Linked DNA regions of Callithrix jacchus. The protein of the gene in region 2 interacts with the protein of the main gene of each other region in a pairwise test. Links are inferred from orthologs where the notes say so. Each region holds a gene or a part of one and is shown on either strand. Other genes may lie near its edges. The genes, in order: ASB9 and CKM.

Region 1 (3,811 bases), on a different chromosome or scaffold from region 2:
GAATGAATTCCCTTCCCCGGGAAACAAACAGGTAGACTGAAGCAAATGAATTTGCAGGGGCACCCAGGGACAGAAACTGCTGTGAGCAATCCACAGGTCTAGTTTTCTGTACTTGCCTAGCCCCATGTCTTGTAGGTGCCCAAACCCTCTGAGAGGTGACTGTACCAAAACCCCAAGAGTGACTCATGGAGGCAAAACAACTGGTGATTCTCTCCAGCAGCAAATGACACCTCATAAACTAGTAGAATCATTGGCCCCATTGTCACCGTGCAAAACATGCATTAAAAATTAATTACTGTCTCTGGGAATGGCTTTGGGAAACAAAGCAGAAGGGAAAAGCCAGGGAAGGACATTTGAGAATCCTGTGGAGTTACTTGATGGAGGAGGAGACATCTACATCCTACATGAATATATACCCTACATTATGACTGAGGGGTACCTGAGGGACTTTTGCCTCTGTGAATCCCTTTCTCAATTAAAACAATGAAAAATTCTATTTCGCAACTATGTTGGTATAAAGACGATTCCAATCCATGTTGTTTTATTCATTTTTTGTCCTAATTTTTTAAAAATTAAGATATATTGGCCCGGTGCAGTGGCTCACACCTGTAATCCAGCACTTTCGGAGGCCGAGGCAGGTGGATCACGAGGTCAGGAGTTCAAGACCAGCCTGGCCAACATGGTGAAACCCTCTCTCTACTGAAAGTACAAAAATTAGCTGGGTGTGGTGGCATGTGCCTGAAGTCCCAGCTACTCGGGAAGCCGAGGCAGGAGAATCACTTGAATCTGGGATGCAAAGATTACCGTGAGCTGAGATCATGCCATTGCACTCCAGCCTGGAAACACATTAAGACTCTGTCTCAAAAAAAAAAAAGATATAATTATGGGCCTTGTAGACATAAAACTTTGTTAAAACAAGTGATTATTAAGATGCAGATAGAAGTGCTCAGTGATTATCCCACTGCTTAACTGAAAGGAGCCTCTAGTGGACTATTCCTTATACCTGGAGTCAGTCTTTTGCCTGACCAGCACTGCTCAGGAGCATAGGCCTGCAAATGCCTGCAGGAGCATAGTCCCATACTCCAAGGCAGGGACTTGACTGCAAGTACCCTGGGGCAGTGAGAGGTGGAGGAAAGAGGACTCCTAGGCACACTTTACAGATCTGCCCAAAGCCAACCCTACTTCTTACCATGTGGGGAGAAAAGAACTAGACTGTATGATATCAGAATCCTTTTGGTAGGAAGGCCTGCTTCAAAGTCCCAGAATCCCTAAGACTTTACAGTCCACACTCTGGTAAGAAAAGAAGTACTGAGCTGGTTGCTCACCTGCCTCCAAGCCCATGAAGATTGGAACAGGGTGACTCCCCAACTTGAGCTGTCTTTGTTCACCAACCCTACCCAGGCCTCAAAGCCCTACTCCCATACACACTGCTCAACCACAGTATTTCATTGTTTGGGTTGGGAGTGTCATTCCTTACTTATAGAGGTGTGGACTTATTGCTGGTTAACTTATCATAGTAAATGTCCTTGGATTGGTGTGAACCCTAAATTCTCAAAGAGCTGCATTTTAAGCCCAGAAACCAAGTATCCAGTAGTCTGGCCCATCTGTGGTACAGTAAGATATCCTGGGGCCTCATACCCCCAAGAGGCCTCTGCTACCTCATTCTAAAGGATCTTTTAAATACATGTAATACTAAAATTTTAAAATAATACCTTAATTTTTAAAAACCTGGCCTACACCATATATGAATATTACATCATCTCAGAAACCTATATCCAATATGCTAAACAGCAGGATAGTTATTTACTGTACTGTAACCAGTACTGTACACCTCACTGAATATTGAATCATCTCAACTTCCACATATTTGGGGATGGCAGAGAATGGTCTTTTTACAGGACTGGAAGTCAGAAATTGCTAAATACCTGCCTCTTACTAAAGCCTGAAGGGGTGTCTACAATTAGGGCTTAGATTTTGGCAATGAAGCACCTTCTCTCTCCAGGAAGACCTGGCACAAAGGGCTCTCTGGAGGCACCAGGTCCACAGGACGTTTGCCTTCAGCATTCTTGGCCTGGGTGTCTGCTCCAAAATCCATGAGTAGGCAAGCTAGCTCTTCATTGACCGTCTCTGCCACTGCATGAAGTGGGGAATCATGACCTTTGCCTTGGTTCACGTCTGCACCTAAATAGTCACAAGAACAAAAAAAAAGTCAGCAAGGAGCAGAATCCAACCATCCTCCTTTCAAAGCAATAAGCCCCAAAATTCCCTAACAAGAGGGGATCCATATTGAGCACAGCAATTCTGGGAAAATGGGAGATGCTTTGATTCCATTTCATAATGTGGAGAAAATCCCATCTAATAATGTCATTGAATGTACAGCATGAGCTATATAGCATATGAAGTTAAAAATCTGCCTTTCAGCACTGTACATAGGCATGATACATCTAAGAAAAATCCCAGTGACAGAAAAGCTGCACGTCATTATTAATGGAACCTAAGTATTAGCCAGTAGAGCCTGGGGGTGACGCTAGATGGTGAAATCCAGCATACAACAAGCAGCCAAACTCACCTGGTGTGTGCAGCTGCCACAGGGTGTAAAACATGGTGCTTGGGTGATTTGGACTTTGTAAAGCAACCAACTCATGGGGTTATCCCCTGCATTGGACTGACCAATCCATCCCGAGATCACGGGGAAGGTGGCAAAGTTCTCCCCTTGAGGAGTAAGGCAGATTTCTAGGACTGTCCCCACCCAATTCCACTCCTACATTCTTTTTTTTTTTTTTTTTTTTGAGACGGAGTTTCGCTCATTACCCAGGCTGGAGTGCAATGGCGCGATCTCGGCTCACCGCAACCTCCGCCTCCTGGGTTCAGGCAATTTTCCTGCCTCAGCCTCCTGAGTAGCTGGGATTACAGGCACGCGCCACCATGCCCAGCTAATTTTTTGTATTTTTAGTTGAGACGGGGTTTCACCATGTTGACCAGGATGGTCTCGATCTCTTGACCTCGTGATCCACCTGCCTCAGCCTCCCAAAGTGCTGGGATTACAGGCGTGAGCGACTACTCCTGGCCCACTCCTACACTCTTAACAAATCTCTACCCCAGCCCAGATGCTGGCGCTCACTGTGATATGTGCGAACATGTGGCTTTGCCTGAGCTGCCATCTGTCTGGTAAAATGAAAATCTATGTCCATTCAACAAATGTTAACTGATCTGGTCTTGTATTGTTCTTAACTGTGTGGAATGTCAAACATGGCCCTTTCCAGGCTACAGGCTTAAAATCCACCCAGAATGGTGGAGGGTGTGGTGGGAGGTGGGAGAGAGAATGCATCTCTTAATTCATAGCAATGCCTGCCAAATGAGTAGGAGGCAATAAGGACTATAACAACATTCACTGGAAAAGAGATTACTAGAGTCTTAAAGAGTAAATAGGACTCAGATAATTAGAGAGGTGGTGAAATGGTATTGAGAAGGGGGCTGGACAGCAGCAGGGAGGTGAAAAGAAATAAGGGAACATAGGCCTTTTCAAGGAAAACATAGTATTTGCAATGGGCTAAAAGTGGGGCATGTTCAATATCTAAATCAAAGACAACTGGTGAAGGTCCCAAATAGGAACCTATTCAACACTAATCCAACAACTTTGCAAGTTATGCAGGGCTTAATAATGTGACTGGCCAAATGGAGGGAGACAGAGGAAAGGGAGAAGAAAAAAATTATCATTGAAAACCACCTGAGAAGAGGCATTGGCGGCATCATCATCATCATCATCTTCATCATCCTCCTCGTGACAAGTGAGAGAACTAAAGTTCAAACA
Region 2 (4,299 bases):
GATCTCGGCTCACTGCAACCTCCACCTCCTGGGTTCAAGTGATTCTTGTTATTTATTTATTTAGTTTGAGACGGAGTCTCGCTCTGTCACCAGGCTGGAGTGCAGTGGTGAGATCTCGGCTCACTGCAGAGTCTGCTTCCTGGTTCAAGGGATTCTCCTGCCTCAGCCTCCTGAGCAGCTGGGACTACAGGCGTGTGCCACCACGCCTGGCTAATTTTTTGTATTTTTAGTAGAGATGGGGTTTCACCATCTCTACTGGTTGGTCAGGTTGGTCTCAAACTTCTGGGTTCAAGTGATCCACCCACCTCGGCCTCCCACAGTGCTGGGATTACAGGCGTGAGCCACTGCGCCCAGCCTGGCTCACATCTTGCAGATGGCAGCAAGAGAACCAAGTGAGGCGTTGAGGTCAGCCAGGCTGTGTGACCTGGAGCAGGGGAATGTCTCTCTCTGAGCCCCTGCATCTCAGCAGGAAGGCATCTGGAGTCTTAGGTCAGGAGCCCGGCTCTGCCACATCCCAGCCAGGTGAGCCTGAACTAGTCATTCTTGCTGGAGACTCAGTTTCCCCAAGTGGAAAACAGGCCCCACCCCGAGTCTGGAAAAATACCATGTGTGGGTAAAGTGTAGGTTCTGGAACTGGCCCAGGGTTGGATTCCCAGCTCTGCTACCACAACTAGCTGTGTGGCCAGGGGCAAATTGCTTAACCTCTCTGTGCCTCAATTTACTCATCTGGAAAATGAGGATCATAATAGCACTCAGTGCACAGGAGTGTTGAAAGGATTAAATGTGTGAATGGAGATATAGCTCTCAGAACAGTGCCTGGTACACAATAAGCATTATTTCACTTAGCTATTGTTGTTATTATGTTAAGTCTCGCTCTGTCGCCCAGGCTGGAGTGCAGTGGAGAGATCTCAGCTCACTGCAACCTCCACCTCCCAGGTTCAAGCAGTTCTCCTGCTTCAGCCTCCCGAGTAGCTGGCATTACAGGCGTGTGCCATATCCAGCTAGGGTGTGTGTGTGTGTGTGTGTGTGTGTGTGTGTGTGTATGTATTTTTAGTAGAGATGGGGTTTCGCCATGTTGGCCAGGCTGGTCTTGAACTCCTGACCATAAGTGATCCGCCCACTTTGGCCTCCCAAAGTGCTGCGATTATAGGCTTGAGCCACCACACCTGGCCTGTTGTTAGTTTGTGGGAGGACCTGGTGAAAAGGTGGAGGTGAGGGTATTGCTGGGAGTCAGTATGTGAGCAGGTTCTCAGATTACCAATCCAAAGACAAAGGGCTGGGTCTGGGGGGGTGCCGCATGGCTGCCCACACCTCTGTCTGCTGACAGTTCTCCCACAGGGCTCAGCAGGGAAGAGAAGCTCAGCCTCTGGATCATCAGAGCCAGGTTCAAATCCCACCTATGCCATTTCCCTGCTGTGTGACTCCAGGCCAGTCACTAGGCCTCTCTGGAGCTCTGTCTCCTGTGAACTGAGCCTGCCCCATAGGATTTCCAGGATCCTCTGAGCTTGGCCATGGGATTGGCTGAGCACAGGCCCTGACATGGAGTTGGAGCCTGGAACCCTGGTGGCTGCTATTATTGTTATTATTACTTTTTTTTGTAGTGGTGGGGTCTCACTATATTGCCCAGGCTGGTCCGGGACTCCTGGCCTCAAGGGGTCCTCCTGTCTTGGCCTCCCAAAATGCTGGGATTATATGTGTGAGCCACTGCGCCCAGTCCTATTGTTATTATTATTTTATTCACTGGACCCAGAAAGGAGAAAGGACCTCCAGCAGGGGTAGGAGAGGGGGATGGGAAGCAGGTGGGACTGGAGGAGGGCAGTTGGGACCACGGTGAGCTAAGGGCTGGAAGGGGAGCAGGGACCCGCCAAAGACCTTGGGCGCTGCTGTCCAGGGTGGTTATTTTTAGGATCTGGCAGCAGCCTGCCGCCCCACCCCCAGCTGCTGCCCGGCCCCACCCCCACATTCCGGGGCTCGGCTTGCACCAAGTCAGCAGGCCCTGAAACAGGTGGGCCAGGGTGGCTGGGGGGACATGAGTCCAGGCCCTGGGGCTCAAGGACATCCCAGGCTGGCAGCCCAGACCCCTGCCCTTCAGAGGATGCTCCCCCAATCCCTGCCAGGGACACCCCAAGAGCGGGCACTGAGGCAAGGTTGGTGACCCCCCCAAGAGACACAAGCAGAAAGCCCCAGAGCCATGAACCCCCACCACAGTACACTCCCCAGATCACACTGTAAACCAAGTCACACAGTCACACTTCCAAGCTTAGAGACATGCCCAAGATAGAGGCACTCCTGTGTGAGCTACCAAGTCAGATGCAAGGTCACAGGGACCCACACGGCAGCAATCGAAAAGACACCCGAAACACCTGCCGTTGCAGACTCTGCCGGGCGACACACAGACACACCTCCCACGGCTGGTGGCGCCAGTGCTGGTGACAAACTGTAATCAACACGGGCCTGGCTCAATAGCCCCTTGCAGGGGGTGACAGTTGGCAGCTGTCAAGACCCCTGTCATCTCTGGGATCCCTCCCCATAACCCAAGACTTGTGCTGAAGAAATGACAAATCCCAGCGGGGGGTTCAGGCGGCCTCACAGATGGAGGGGACTCCCAGACACAGAGGTCAGCCTTCCCACGCACCAGCCTGCCTTTGTAAAGGAGGGTGTTGGTGGGGCAGGGGGTGGCCCACAGGCCCCTTCCCGAGCTGAGACAGCCTCTGGCACCCACAGAGACTCCCCCTCTCTGGCCCCCACCCAGATTCCTGTCCCCATGCAGTACCTGGCTGGGCTGGGCTGAAGGGGGCTCTCTGTATCCTGGAGGTGACACTAACCCAAAGGAAGGGCCTGCAGCCATGGCCTTATATAGGGGGACCTAGGCTGTGCTATTGGCTGGGAGGGACTGTCCCCAGGGAGGAGTCCTGGAGGGCAGCTGAGCCTCTCACCTCCCTGCTTGGGCACCATGCCCACCCCGAACCCAGGCATGCCTTGCGCCCAGCCCCGTGGCCTTGTATGGGCTAAGCTGCCCCAGGGGCTGGACCCAAGCCCCCCCACCAAACTGATTCCCTGACCAAGTGCTGAGTCGGGCTGGCGGTGGGGACAACTGGCCCCCCGCCGGGAACACGGGACAGTGGCTGGGAACATCCCAAGCACGTAGAAGCCACCCTCCCCTGGCCCCTGAGTCTCCTCCAGCCGCCAGCCCCTCCTGTGTGTGCCCCTGGGCCCTCACCCCTAGCCCAGTCCCAGCGGCACCTTGGGGAACCATGCCGTGGCTCCAGGAGGACCAGGTGCCCTGGGAGCAGGAGGAAGCAAAGGCCAGGAGAGGCTGTGTGGCCGCCTGCTGCCACCACCCACAGGGAGGGTCCAGGCAAGCCCAGTTGCAGGAGAGGGCAATCTAACCCCAGAAACCTGCGCTTGGACGCCCCTTCCTTCTAGGGACTGAGCGGAGGGTAAACTGAGGCTGGCCGAGTTGGGGAGATTCAAACTCAGGGCTGGGGTGGGAGACGGTGGTCACCCTCCCCCTGCTTAACCCTTGCCCCCTCGGTGCCACTGGGAAATCTCTGCTGCGCGGGGGACAGGGAGGGTCTCAGCCGCCAGGAAAGGAGTTATTTTTAGAGGGCGCTTTGCTGTCTCCTCCTCTGCGAAGGCGCTGGGTTTGGGGTGGCTCGGGGGCAGGTGTTGGAGGGGGGATCGCCACGTGTCCTGGTTAATTATAACCGGGCGTCTCGGGTGTCCCCGGGCCTCGCCTCCTTACAAGGGCAGCCACGGGGCCCTGAGTGGCAGCTCCCCGCCCCCCCGGGAAGGGGGCTGGGCAGCGACGCGGTTTAGAGCGCGGGCGCTAGACTCGCACTCGCGCGGATCTGGCATGGCAAGCGCTCTCCGTGCCTCGGCTGTGACCAAGGACTTCAAGGGCTGAGAAGGGGGTTCTGTGGAAGAGGGTACCGCATAGAGGAAGCCGCTTTCTTCTGAGGCGCGCCAAGATTGCAGGCTGATCGGGTCTCCTCCTCCAGGGAGCTCCCAGGATTGCGAGGAAGAAAAGAATGTCCCTTCCCTCTGGGTTCCTCCCTCAGCCAGGGTTTCCTGGGTCTCCAGTCCTCACCTCATACCTTCCCAGGCACATGAGGACTGGCTTAGAGAAAGGGAGCCTCTCTGCCTCTCCCACAGACGCCTGATCTGAGTGGGGCAGGGGAGAAGGGTGCTTTAGAAACGTTTACATGGGGCCCAGCCCCTTCCCAGCAAACTCAGATTGGCAAGGGTCTCTTTCAAGGTTATGGAAACTGAGGCCCAGAAAACTAAATGGAACTGGGC

Evidence for each region.
Region 1: the proteins of CKM (region 2) and ASB9 interact in binary tests that used the Homo sapiens proteins (3 or more experiments, as listed by UniProt). The two-hybrid records come from large-scale screens. The link is inferred for Callithrix jacchus from reciprocal best matches to the Homo sapiens genes CKM and ASB9.

What each region holds. Positions count from the first base shown.
Region 1 is NC_133524.1:15,539,677-15,543,487, forward strand, and holds part of ASB9 (ankyrin repeat and SOCS box protein 9), read right to left. Parts: intron 2,182-3,811; coding exon 1,990-2,181; intron 856-1,989; exon of another isoform or gene 1-855. UniProt on the Homo sapiens protein: Substrate-recognition component of a cullin-5-RING E3 ubiquitin-protein ligase complex (ECS complex, also named CRL5 complex), which mediates the ubiquitination and subsequent proteasomal degradation of target proteins.
Region 2 is NC_133523.1:39,501,945-39,506,243, forward strand, and holds the start of CKM (creatine kinase M-type), read right to left. Parts: upstream 2,828-4,299; 5' UTR 2,774-2,827; intron 1-2,773. UniProt on the Homo sapiens protein: Reversibly catalyzes the transfer of phosphate between ATP and various phosphogens (e.g. creatine phosphate).